Callithrix jacchus: one gene and its partners. The protein of the gene in region 2 purifies or fractionates together with the protein of the main gene of each other region. This does not show direct contact. Links are inferred from orthologs where the notes say so. Each region holds a gene or a part of one and is shown on either strand. Other genes may lie near its edges.

The links. Proteins that work in one complex are often made in the same cells at the same time.
Region 1: the proteins of RPA3 (region 2) and PRPF19 purify together in Homo sapiens (affinity purification with western blotting; 3 studies listed by BioGRID, with this or other methods). This does not show direct contact. The link is inferred for Callithrix jacchus from reciprocal best matches to the Homo sapiens genes RPA3 and PRPF19.
Region 3: the proteins of RPA3 (region 2) and RFC1 purify together in Homo sapiens (affinity purification with mass spectrometry; 3 studies listed by BioGRID and IntAct, with this or other methods). This does not show direct contact. The link is inferred for Callithrix jacchus from reciprocal best matches to the Homo sapiens genes RPA3 and RFC1.

Annotation. Positions count from the first base shown.
Region 1 is NC_133511.1:117,920,159-117,924,332, forward strand, and holds part of PRPF19 (pre-mRNA-processing factor 19), read right to left. Parts: intron 3,274-4,174; coding exon 3,118-3,273; intron 2,862-3,117; coding exon 2,792-2,861; intron 2,559-2,791; coding exon 2,473-2,558; intron 2,198-2,472; coding exon 2,027-2,197; intron 1,891-2,026; coding exon 1,785-1,890; intron 1-1,784. UniProt on the Homo sapiens protein: Ubiquitin-protein ligase which is a core component of several complexes mainly involved pre-mRNA splicing and DNA repair. Required for pre-mRNA splicing as component of the spliceosome.
Region 2 is NC_133512.1:51,152,951-51,157,587, forward strand, and holds the start of RPA3 (replication protein A 14 kDa subunit), read left to right. Parts: upstream 1-1,445; 5' UTR 1,446-1,496; coding exon 1,497-1,595; intron 1,596-2,811; coding exon 2,812-2,886; intron 2,887-3,949; coding exon 3,950-4,058; intron 4,059-4,625; coding exon 4,626-4,637. UniProt on the Homo sapiens protein: As part of the heterotrimeric replication protein A complex (RPA/RP-A), binds and stabilizes single-stranded DNA intermediates that form during DNA replication or upon DNA stress.
Region 3 is NC_133504.1:154,497,066-154,501,239, reverse strand, and holds part of RFC1 (replication factor C subunit 1), read right to left. Parts: coding exon 4,078-4,174; intron 2,488-4,077; coding exon 2,399-2,487; intron 2,217-2,398; coding exon 2,079-2,216; intron 1,935-2,078; coding exon 1,839-1,934; intron 1,716-1,838; coding exon 1,617-1,715; intron 1-1,616. UniProt on the Homo sapiens protein: Subunit of the replication factor C (RFC) complex which acts during elongation of primed DNA templates by DNA polymerases delta and epsilon, and is necessary for ATP-dependent loading of proliferating cell nuclear antigen (PCNA) onto primed DNA.

The DNA.
Region 1 (4,174 bases), on a different chromosome or scaffold from region 2:
AATGCTGTGAGAATTACCAAAATGTGACACACAGACACCAAGTGAATAGACACTGTTGGAAAAATGGCACTGACAGACCCACTTGGGGCAGGGCTGCCAAAAATCTTCCATTCACAAAAAACAAAGGATCCACAAAGCACAATAAAGCTGAGTGCAAAAAGACAAGGTATACCTATACTGTACTTTTTGGCATTATTTTAAGTATATTCTTTCTACTTACAAAAAAAAGTTAACTATAAAACAGCACCAGGCAGGCCCTTTCAAGAGGTATCCAGGAAGAAGGCATCATCAAAGGAGATGACAGGTCTATGCGTGTTAGTGCCCCCTGGGACCTTCCAGTGGGACAAGATGTGGAGGTAAAGACAGTGATGTTGGTGATATGGCTGTGCCCCCACTCAAAGCTCACGTTGAATTGTAGTGCCCATAATCCCGACATGTTGTGGGAGGAACCCGGTGGGAAGTAATTGAATTGTGGAGGTGGTTACTCCCATGCTGCTCTCAGGATACTGAGTTCTCAAGAGATCTGATGATTTTATAAGGGACTTTACCCCCTTTGCTCAGCATTTGTCTCTCCCGCTGCTGCTTTCCCTTCTACCATGATTGGAAGCTTCCTGAGGCCTCCCCAGTCACTGTGAGTCATTAAGCCTCTCGCCCTTATAAATTACCCAGTCTCAGGCAGTTCTTCATAACAGTGTGAGAACGGACTAATACAGCTGGTGTTCCTGACCCGTAGGCCTAGGCTAATGTGTGCTTGTATCTTAGTTTTTAACAGGAAAAAATTAAAAAGTAAAAATATTAGAAAACAGAAAAAAGCTTATAGAACAAGGATGTAAAGAGAGACAATATTTTTGTACAGCTGTACAATGTTTGCTTTAAGCTAAATGTTGTTACAAGAGTCAATTTTTTAAGTTTATAAAGTAAAAAAGTTAGCTAAGGCTAATTTATTACTGAAGAAAAAGCGTTTTATAAACTTAGTAGAACCGAAGTGTACTGTGTTTACAAAGTCTACAGCAGTCAGTGTATGGTAATGTCCTAGGCCTTCACATTCACTCACCACTCACTCACTGAAAGCCACTTCCAGTCCTGCAAGCTCCATTCATGGCAAGCACCATTTCCCAGTGCACCATTTTTTAACAATCTCTCATACCTTATTTTTAACTGAACCTTTTCTATGTTTAGATCTGTTTAGATACACAAATACTTACCATTGTGTTATAACTGTATTCAGTACATTTAATACACTGTACAGGTTTGTAGCCTAGGAGCAATAATAGACTCTACTAAGGTTATAGCACTAGCCTTGGTGTGTAGTAGGCCACACCACTAGGTATGTGTAAGTACACGCTATAATGGTTGCACATGGCGAAATGGCCTAACAAGATATTTCTCAGAACATATCCCCATTAAGGGATGTGACTGTATGATCTTCAATCATCTGACCCTCTGCAAGTCTAATGTTTTGTGGGACTCTCGTGCACAGAGAATTAAAATGGCTTTCCTCCTGTCACTCTGTCTAATGTCCATTTATTTCAGATTCAGTTAGCAAACCTTCAGAGGGAGGAGTCTTCTCTTCCTCCAGCAACCTGCCCAATGCCACAAGGCATGGAAGTGGCAGAGCTGGTACTAGCATTTACTGCCATGCAGTCTCAGTCTGCTTCCTTAGCTATAAAGCTCTGCCTTAGGTGGTAACCGAAAGCTGCTTAGGTAAATTCATGCAAGCCTTAGAGATTCCTAACCCAGTGAGGCTTCCCTCCAGGCCTGGGCACCTAGAGACCAGCCTCTACCTGTAAAGTGAAGAATCTCCGTCCATTGTTTGCAGATGTAGATCTGGACATCCGTGCCCCCAAGGGCCAGGTAGGTACCACTCTGGTCAAAGATCAGTGACTTTACCTGTTAGAAACAGAAAGGTCACACGAGGGGAACAGAAACTATGGGGCAATTGCAGATAAGCAGAAGCAATGAGATTAATTCAATAATCAACAAATAAGGAGGCACAATGGGAAGCTGGGGAGGGAGAGGGGCACACCTCGAAGTTGCTATCCAGCTGCAACGTCTTAAAGTTCTTAAGCTTGCGCAGATCCCAAAGCTTAACAGAGGAGTCATCAGCCGCTGTCGCCAGGTAGTAACCATTCTCAGAGAAGGCAATGCTGGTGATGGGGCCCGAGTGGCCAGGGAAGTTGGCCACATTGGTTCGTTCCTACAGTGGCGGTGGGGAGTAAAATATGTCACCCATACATCACGAGAGGAAGAAAATGGGGCTCAGCAAACTCCTACCTGAGATGTCCACCACTGTCCTTCCAGGAAGGACAGCCAGCAGGATGCCACCCAGACCACACCATCATATCACACATGCACAGCCAGTGTCTCTCCACCCTCAAGGCCAGGTGCCACAAGCACCCAATCAGCACTGCACTGTCACAGACGCTCCCTCCAGCCCGGGGCCTCAGATGGAGGCCTACCATGTTCTCCTACCTTCAAGTCCCAGATCTTGATCTGAGAGTCCATGGTTCCCGTTCCAAAGATGAGTCCGTCAGGGTGGAACTGTGCACAGGTGAGAGCTGTGGAAGAGGGAAGACAGACCTGTGATTAGAGCCCACCAGGGAGAGACTAAGAGCAGCAAAGGTAGGTTCCTTGTTCTTCACATTCGTCAGTGCACCCAGGACAAAGCCTGGCACTAGACAGGTGCTGGTGGTAAATGTATCTTTAGAACAAATAAGCAAATGACTAAATAAAACATAAAAATAAATGATAAACAGCAAACAAAAAGCTGAGTGTCTACAAGGCAACTTACAGCAGCCGGAGGTCTCATCTGTCACCTTGGTAAGCACACGCCCTGTTTGGATGTCAGAGAAAGCCCAGTACTGGAAAAAAAAAAAAGAGAGAGAGAGAGAGAGACGATGGAGTCAGAGAGAGAGTGGGTCCTAGGCTTTGGTGGCCCTTCAGGAAGGCAGAGCCCCTGGTTTCGCAAACCCTGGCAAACCTAGCACCTCCCAGCAGAGGAAACATTCCCCTTTGAGGTTCTGGGGAACCACCTGGGGTGGGAAGATGTTCCTGCCACCCAGGATGTTCAAGCTTGGGGACCAGCAGGCCTCTCCAGGGCACTGGCTGGGACCGCACCTGATCATCGGAGGAGCTCAGGAGATAGTCACCAGTGGCATGAAGGCTGAGGCCGGTCACAGCACTCTCATGGGCCCGAACCACCTGTACACAAGACGCATTGGGGACCGACCAAATCCTAATAGTGGCATCGGGGGAAGCAGAAAACACCAGGTCCTAAAAGGAAAACAAATATCAGAGAGTATCAGTCAGAAAAAGGATATAGATCCTAACAATCTTATAAAAGGGGGCTGGGGATGCCCACAACTACCAACAACTGCTTCTCCTTTCAGCCCTGCCCTCCCTGGAACCACCTACCCACCCAATGGTGCCCAAGACAGCCAGTGGTAAACGCTATTAAAATGGTAACTCATACAGCATCAGGACTTGTGTAGGAGGCCTCGCCATCTAGTGGTAAAAAGGCTAACTGCAACATAGAGCGATTTTCCCACCCCATTTCCAGGACCAGAGGAGGAAACATGTAGCTAGTACCATTGAGGGTTTAAATTTTTTATTCTATTTCATTGAAATTTAAATAGCCACATGTACCTAACTGGTACTGTACTGCATGGCACAGGTCTGAGCAGTACTGGGACTGTAAGGGGCTGCACAGTGGTATTTCAGCACATCCCACATTTATGGATTTCCACCGTAAGTTAATTTTCCAAAAAACTTGGGCAGGGAGAGAATTTCGTGTCACTTACCGATTTTTTTGTTTAGTTAGGACATTAAAAACCATGAGGTAAAAATAACTACCATCTTTTTTAGCAATACAATTTCATGAGACATAACTATTGACATCCCATAAGCAAGAAAATAGTGCTTTGGATTTGAATACATTCAGTCATGAAAAATTCACCATGGTATTCTTACATTTCTCATTTCCCTAAAGTCCAAGGGAGAGCTTGACTGGGAAGCACTAACCAACCACCGTCCTGCAGCCCTAAACCCAAACTGTCTTGGGCTTAAAATTCGAATCCCATAATATCATTCTTCTGGTCCCATGAGTTTCCTTTACTCTGTAAACCAGACTTTCTGTTGACAACCCACACCATTTTCAATAGCCAACATGGTTTTT
Region 2 (4,637 bases):
ATTATCGTACATCAGATTCCAATCTTAAATTGCCACGTTAATTCTCAAACCGGATCTTTTTTGCTTAGGGAATATGAACAATGACAATTCTGCAGCTTTGGGTAAACTCACAGACTCAGTTTCCACAACGTTATAACACCCAATTAAAACTTCTGTCCAAATTCCACAGCACCGTTTGAAGGTATGTTTATGTTTAGAATATTCATGGCAAGCCCGCCGGCTTCGGGTCACAAGATAGCCAGGGACAGATTGGTGACTACCTCCAAATCTCCCTGGAAAGGGTTATCTTCCAGACCTCCAGATCGCCCTCCAGAGTCTCGGGTTGTGGAGGACAACAACAGAAAGACTGCTGGGGGTGGGGTGGGGGATTTAAACTGTTGCGTCAAGCAAATGGCCAAAAGTTAAGAGTCAACTGGGACCTTGCAAATCATTCCGCCTAACCCTTTGTTTTGCAGACGGGGAAAATATGCCTCAGAAGGGGGAACCGTAGCTCGGGGAACACTAGTTCAGGGTATCAACGATTTGAGCTTGTCTTCTCTGGTCCTGGTCAGTGGTCCTTCTTCCCCATTACCCAATCTCAAGTGCTTCTACTGGCTGCCAAAACAGCGGGTAGTGGAGCGAGAGAACCGGCACCACCGCAGTGTAGCCAGGTTGTCTGGGCTAAAAAAAACAATAACAACAAAAAAAGTCTTAGAAGCAATCGGGCCAATCTCTCTTCTTACAGGTGGAGAAACTTAAGAAAGTAGAGTGACGCAGCTAAGGGAGTAAATCGATCCTCAGGCAACAAGTGGCAAAAGCCTGAAATTGATAAAGATCACTGACGACCCCCGCTCCCCATCTCCAAAGGAGCAAGTATCACAACCACCCCCGCGACCCCTCCCCACACCACATTTCATTCAGCAAAACTCCAGCGCCTCCCACCCAGAACCTAGGAGAGGGAAGGCGGAGCAACAGTAACAGCTGGTACGCAGCAACCACAGCACCACGGCAACAGCTGGTACCGACATCCCGCCTAGCTCTTTTGACTCTGTTAGCCGGAAGAATGAGGAAACAGTAAGGCTGCGGCGCCTCCCGCGAGAAGAGGTACCTGAGGCTCGTGCCGCAGTCCCGCGCTGCACCGGCACCGGAGCTCAACACCCCACTTCCGGGGTCAAATCAACGCGGAGAAGCCCGTGACCGCAGAAGGGGAGCCTGAGGTTCCGCCCCTATCCAAGCCCTACCTCCACTGCCGCTAGCCTGGGATCCGGCAACTTCCGGGACGCCGCGCGTCACTAAGCAGCCAATCTCCACTTCCGGACGCATCACGCCCCTTCCGCACCCCTTTCAGAGACGGCGCGACGGCGACGTAAGTTTCCGCGCATTTAATTGGCGAAGCTGGAGCGCTAGTCTTCGCTGATTAGTACAGAGAAATCTGCCCCATAGACACCCGCGGGGCTCACAGTTTTAGTTAGTCTTCCGTGGGTTTCCCGCCAGCCGCAGTCTTGGACCATATAATCATGGTGGATATGATGGAGTTGCCCAGGGCGCGCATGAACGTCAGCATGCTAACTCAGTTCATCGACAAGCCTGTCTGCTTCGTAGGGAGGCTGGAAAAGGTGTGCGGGTTCGTCGTCGTGTGCTCCGCTATCCGAGGCCGGAGGGAGGGACCCTTTGACCTCCTGGGTGGCGGATTTTGAGTGGATAACTGGGTAATGGGGGATGAAGGAGGATGGGAAGCCTCAGATCACTGCGCTTCCGAATCCTTTATTTTGCACAAGGAGTCATTTTGAAAATTGTTTAACCATTATAGCCCCATTTTGGCGCCTCTTTTATGGCAGGGAAACAAGGTGTTTTCAAATGCTTTGCGTTCTAAATTCCAATGTTCTTCGCCTCCATCCAGGCAGTGCTTATCTAAGGGAAACTATAGACACGACTCCCACATCTACCTTCAAATTTCTTAGTTTACTCAGACGTGATAGACGCCGTCAAAACTAATCTGCTTATTCCTTCTCTTCTGAAATCACTTCTTTTTGCAGACCTCGTTTCCTCGTTGTAATGGCTTCTTTGCAAAACCTGCCTTGATTGTCCGCTTTGAGTCCCGTAGTAGTGAGTTATCTAGCCCCACTATTAAAGTGAAGTCCCCTCATTCTACTGGAGAGAAACAGGCCCAAAGTCTTGGAATCAGAGACCTGAGAAGCTGGGGCCGGGGGGGGGGGGGGGGGAACTATTATATAAAGACTTAGTAGTAGCTCATTGCATCTACACATCCTCTTCCTTAAATGAGTGTTACTCTGACTTCACAAGTAGGGAAACTGAGTAGGAGTGATAGGTGGTTGACTCAAATGCTTCGAAACCCAGCAAGTGGCAAAGCTGGCATTCAAATGAGATCTCACAGCGCTCTTTACAGCTACTTGCCAGGAGTAGGACCCAGATATTCTAGCAACCAGTTCTCCGTTAACTTCATCATGCCTGATTTTTAAAACATAAACTCCATGGGTTGTGTACTGTCTAAATCATAATTGCCAGCAGGTTTCACTTTTAGCTAGGGCGGGCCTCCCTTTAATTTGTTATTGGAATAGGATTGCCATATTTAGCAAATGCAGAACCTACTTATACTACAAAACACATTCCTTGTTTGTCCGAACTTCCAAATTAACTGTGTGTCCCATGAACAGATTTGGTAATATAAGATTATAATTTGAACCAATAAATTGAATAGAATGAATAAACTGTTCAAAAAACGATTTGTGCTCAACTAAGGATCAATGTGCTCATCTTTTGTCAAACTTATTTGTTGTTTTAATGAGATTTTAATCATATGTTTCGTTTTAGATTCATCCCACCGGAAAAATGTTTATTCTTTCAGATGGAGAAGGAAAAAATGTAACCATCGAGTTGATGGAACCTGTATGTTTAAGTATTAATAGGTCTCATGTATATTATAGTTAATTCTTCAACTGGGTTTGGTTTGTTGTTGATGTTTCTAATTTTTGGAGTGGATGTAAAAAAGATGAGCTGGTGAAACATCCCTGGCTCTAAAATTAAATTCTTGTACTATTCTCTCATTATATTTCCTTTTACATTTGTAATCGATGGTTTTTATTGGGCTTCATGATTTTTGAACATGTCCCTTAAATGCTGGATAACAATTTTCATTCCTTATGAAAGGCCATAAAATTACATAAGAAAAATTTAAACTGCTTTTTTCTTCCTCAAGAGTTTTTTTGTTTTGAGACAGGGTCTCACTCTGTTGCCCCAGGTAGAATGCAGTGGCACCATCGTGGCTCACTGCAGCCTCAGCCTTCCACGATCAAGTTGCTCCCATCTCAGCCTCCCCAGTAGCTGGGACTTTAGGCATGCTCAATTGTGTCTAGTTAATTTTTTTTTTTTTTTTTTTTTGGTAGAGATGGCATCTCCCTATGTTACTCAGGCTTGTCTTGAACTCTTGGTCTCAAGCAACCATCCTCCTGCCTGGACTAACCCAGCAAGTGTTTTAAATTTTATTTTATTTTCTGTTTTTGTTTATATATTTCCAGTTTTTACTTACTTATTTTTTCATTTTATGTTTAATGTACTTAGAACTTTTTTGGTATTTTGTGAAGACAGATCCATATGATACTTGGTTATACAGTATACATTGTGAAATACAAATTATAGAAGGTTCTTCCTCTCAATAAGAAATTACTGCTTATAGAAATGCTGGACGTTTTCAATAAGTAATTTTGTCTTTAACTTGAATTGTAGCTTTGGATTTGAAGCTACTACTCATGGTAACAGGAATTTTAACATGCTCTCAGTTAAGTACTGAAACGTTTTTTAACCAGTTACATTTTAACTTTAGCACTGGTAATTTTTAAAATTACTTTCTTACTTGAATTGAAAGATTAGTAATCTGTATTAACAGTTTTCCAAATTAATTGTCAACTGAAAATGTGATAACAGTAAATTGATGTTTTGTTCCATGTCTTAGCTTGATGAAGAAATATCTGGAATTATAGAAGTGGTTGGAAAAGTAACCGCTAAGGCAACCATCATGTGTACATCTTTTGTCCAGTTTAAAGAAGATAACCATCCTTTTGGTAACTAAAGCATTCTAGTATTGACTGGTTTTATGTAATTAGCAGGAAAACAATTTTATTTTTAATTTTATATCTATTGGCCTAGCATTTAGTACTGTCATATTTTCAATTTCTATAGAATTTTCTGATCCTAAAGGAAAATGGGAATACGTTTTGTTTTGTCCTGCTTCTAAGTAGTGCTTATATATGTAAGAAACTCAGTACAGATTAATTAATATTTGTAGAAAGATAATTTTTAAATATAACAAATAAAATAATATTAGTCGTTTTGTTGTAATATATGAATTGAAGGAATGGAATAATCCATAACACCTAAAATACTACCAGGCAGATACTGCCTGTATAATGAACATCGAAATGGATGGTATTCCCATGTTTTTTTGTTTGTTTCTCTCTTTCTCTTTTTGGCGCCACAGTTAAATACAAGAATCTGTAATCCATATCTCCAATTTTAAAAATTCACTTCCAAAGGGTGAGAAAAGGGAAATAAATAAAAATATCTTAGGTGATAATTGATGTTACAACTTTCCACTGTAGATTAAATGTTTGCTTAAATGTTTCTTTCAGATCTTGGACTTT
Region 3 (4,174 bases), on a different chromosome or scaffold from region 2:
TCTGTACTAAAAATAAAAAATTGGCCAGATGTGGTGGCTGGTGCCTGTAATCCCAGCTACTCGGGAGGTTGAGGTAAGAGAATCACATGAACCCGGGAGGCAGAGGCTACAGTGAGCCAAGATCACACCACTGTACTGCAGCCTGGGTGACAGAGACTCAGACTCAAAAAAAAAAAAAAAAGACATGGAAGAACCTTATATGCTATTACTAAGTGAAAGAAGCCAATTGAAAAAGTCCACATGCTACGTGATTCCAACTATACCACATTCTGGAAAAGGCAAAATTATGGACACAGAAGGATCAGTGGTTGCCAGGAGTTGTAGAGAGGAAAGGAGGAAAGGAAGAATGAATAGGTAGAGCACAGAGGATTTTCAGGACAGTGAAACATGTATATAATGGTGAATACATGTCATTATATTTGTCAAAACCATACAATGTAAAACACCAAGAGGGAATGCTAATGTATACGATGAACTCTGGGTGATAATGAGGTATCCATGTAGTTTCATCGATTATAACAAATATACCACTTTGGTGGGGGATGTTGGTGGTGGGAGAGGCTATGCGTGTGAGGGGGACAGGAAGTATGTGAGAACTCTCTGTACCTTCCACTCAATTTTGTGTGAGCCTAAATTGCTCTAAAAAAATAAAGCGTAGGCCAGGCACAGTGTCTTATGCCTGTAATCCCAGCACTTTGGGACGCCTAGGCAGGTGGATCACAAGGTCAGGAGTTAAGACCATGGTGAAACCCCGTCTGTACTAAAAATACAAAAATTAGCTGGGTATGGTGGCACGTTCCTATAATCCCAGCTACTGGGGAAGCTGAAGCAGGATAACTGCTTGAACCAGGACCCAGGAGGCAGATGTTGCAGTGAGCTGAAATTGTGCCACTACACTCCAACCTGGGCTACAGAAGGAGACTCTGTTAGAAAGGAGGTGGGGAAGGGAGGGGATAGGGAAAGGAAGGAAGGAGGGAGGGAGGGAGGGAGGGGGGTATAGGCCAGAAGTGGTGGCTCACACCTGTAATCCAGCACTTTGGGGGCCACAGCAGGAGAATTGCTTGAGGCCAGGAATTCGAGACCAGTCAGGAAAACATAGTGAGACCTTGTCTCTACCAAAAATTTTTAAAATTTAAATAAATAAGAAAGTGTATTAACTTTTTTAGAATTTGCTTAATCATTGCTCTAATGACAAATTTTGATTAGCAACTAGGTAAAATACAACATAGAGGTAACTGATACAGACCTCTAGTTTCAGAGAGGCTATTAAACTAAACCATTTGACATGGATTATTCTGAACAGTGCAAAACCATTCCAAGCATTTGAAAGCCAAACATAAGGAACTCTGGAAAAGCCCAATTTATAACTATTGAAGCATGAGTATAATTTAAAATGTATCCCTTTCTCAAAATTGATAATAAACATTGACAATCTTCCAGAAAAAATTCATTTGAATTAGAAACACTTTTAGCAACTGTCTGTACTTCTTACTATAAATATCCCTGGATTCCATAGGCATATCAAGAAACTATATTAACTATTTCTATCCAGCTACCTAGAGAACAAGAAGTGTTTTGGCTTGGGAAAGTAACTAAGACATGGAAATTTATTTTACCATTTTGATATCCTTTTTGGCCCTGTGAGAATCAGCCTTGGCCTGGTCATAGGTTAATGCTTTACTTCGTGCACACCACATACTCAGATTATGTAAAACCTAGAAGAATCACAAGTAAGACAATGTCAAGATAGGAAAATCCCATTGTTCCCCATCTCTACAAGGTTGAAAGAATTAATTAAAAATAATCAGCAACTGTTACATAATATGTATTTAATTTACCTGTCTGATATCTTGATTGGCTCCCAAAATTATTTCATTCATAGCTGGAGGGGGAATCTTTAAACCTTCTTTAAATGCAATAGACATCATAGCACCCTGAGATCGACAAGGGAGGAATTTTCAGTGATTTTTTTTTAACTCATATAATCAGATATTTTTAAAATATTTATCAGGTACTTTTAAAAATTGACCCTTAAATAAATAGACTAATGTGAAGGAAAAAAATTTCAATCATCATACCTTAATCTGTTCAACCCGAGGTCTTTGAAAACGAAGATCAAAACAATAATGAACCAGAGAACGAATTTTGGGATGATTTCTATCATTGCACATACAAATAATGGGAATTTTAGTATGCTTTATCAGGCCAATTAATTCCTGAAAGGCAAGTTTGCAACACAAAAATAATTATTTAAAAAATGACAAGTACCACACATCGTATTTTAGGTTCTAAAAATCTCCTCAGCAACATGCCTTAACTGCTATAAATAGGAGAATGACAATGTTTTAATAATCTATATATCAATAATGAAACTGCAAAAATACACCACTTGGATTACCTGAATTCCTCCCCTATCCTCATTGCCTGCCATGCCATCTACTTCATCCATGATGACAGCATGCTTCGTGCTTACTGAAGAGGCTCCATCTGACCCAGGTTGAGGAGCAACGGGATGAGACAAAAACAAAATAACAATTGTTCAAAAACTGCTTTTCTGTAGAAAGTTAGATAAAACATATTAAACTTCAAACACTACAAGAATATGCAGTGTTGGACTAGAGTGTTGTTAAAGAAAAAACAAAATATGCAGTGAAGAGAAACTCTCCCTGCCACCCCTTCCACTGCAGACCCCAATTCCCTTCCCAGAGGCAAACAATAGTCTCTTATATGTCCCTAAAGAGATACACATAAGTGCATAAAAATATGCAACTGAGTTTTGTCATTTTTTTTTTTTTTTTGGAGATAGAGTTTTGCTCTTGTTGCCCAAGCTGGAGTGCAATGACACGATCTCAGCCCATTGCAACCTCTGCCTCCCAGGTTCAAGCGATTCTCTTGCCTCAGCCTCCAGAGTAGCTGAGATTACAGGTGCACACCACCACACCCAGCTAATTTTTGTATTTTTAGTGGAGACGAGTTTTCACCATGCTGGCCAGGCTAGTCTCGAACTCCTGACCTAAGGTAATCCGCCCACCTCAGCCTCCCAAAGTGCTGGGATTACAGGCATGAGCCACCATGCCCGGCCAGTTTTGTCATTTTTATGTATTTTGGTAATTCATACTTTATCTGTAGATATAGGACACATCATTTTTTTAAGGCAATTTAATATTCCATTCTACACTTGTATCACACTTTACTTAATCACTCTCTATTAATGAAATATATAGGATGCTTCCAGGCTTTTTTCTATCATACTAACTAGCTATCCTTATCTATATGGCATATATATATGCCACTATGCACATATAAAAGTATAATAAATGCTAAATTCCAGCAATTAGAATTTCTGGGCTAGAGGGTATATGTAATTTGAGAAATATTGCCAGACTACTCTCCAGAGTTGTACCAATTTACCCTCCCACTCGCCATGTCTAAGAGTGACATTTCCTGAGCAAATTATTTAGAACAATGTGAAGGCATCAAGAATTCAGGTGACAAAACAACACAGTATCGGCTCTAAATAGACCCTGTGTGGTCCTTCATTTGAGTATCTTATTTTCCATGAACTCAGTTACAACCTGAAACACAGTGGGCACTTGCACACTGTCTTCTCTTCTACTACTTTTGCCTGCAATAATCTCTTCCACCTCCAAATGGTTTTCTCTCATTCTTCAAGCTCTTTCCAAACAATTACCACCCCTTTAATTCAACGCCCCAAACATAATTACTACTTCGTCTGCTGGCCTTAATTCCTTACTCATCACACTGTATTACATACGGTTTGTTTATTTTCTTTCTCTGTTTACAGGATTCACCTGTGAATCCTCTAAAATCATATAAACAGCACATAAATATGTGCATGTGCACATTTTTATCATATTCTCAAAAACCTCTAAGACCTATGAAAGGGTACGATACTACCCCATAAGAGTGACATCTGAGGACTTTATTATTCTCTTGTTAGCCCCAGAATTTAATAGGGTGCTTGGCACACAACCTGTGTTCAATACTGGTTACTGAACATTGAAATGAACATATTTTTCTTACATAACAACAGCAGCTGTTCAAAAAGCCACATACTTGAATAAAAGCCTTTGATGCTGGTATTGTTCAGTGACTCAGCAACAATCGCCTTCAAACTGTTCTTACTTCGGGTGTCACTTGCATTCAGTTCCAC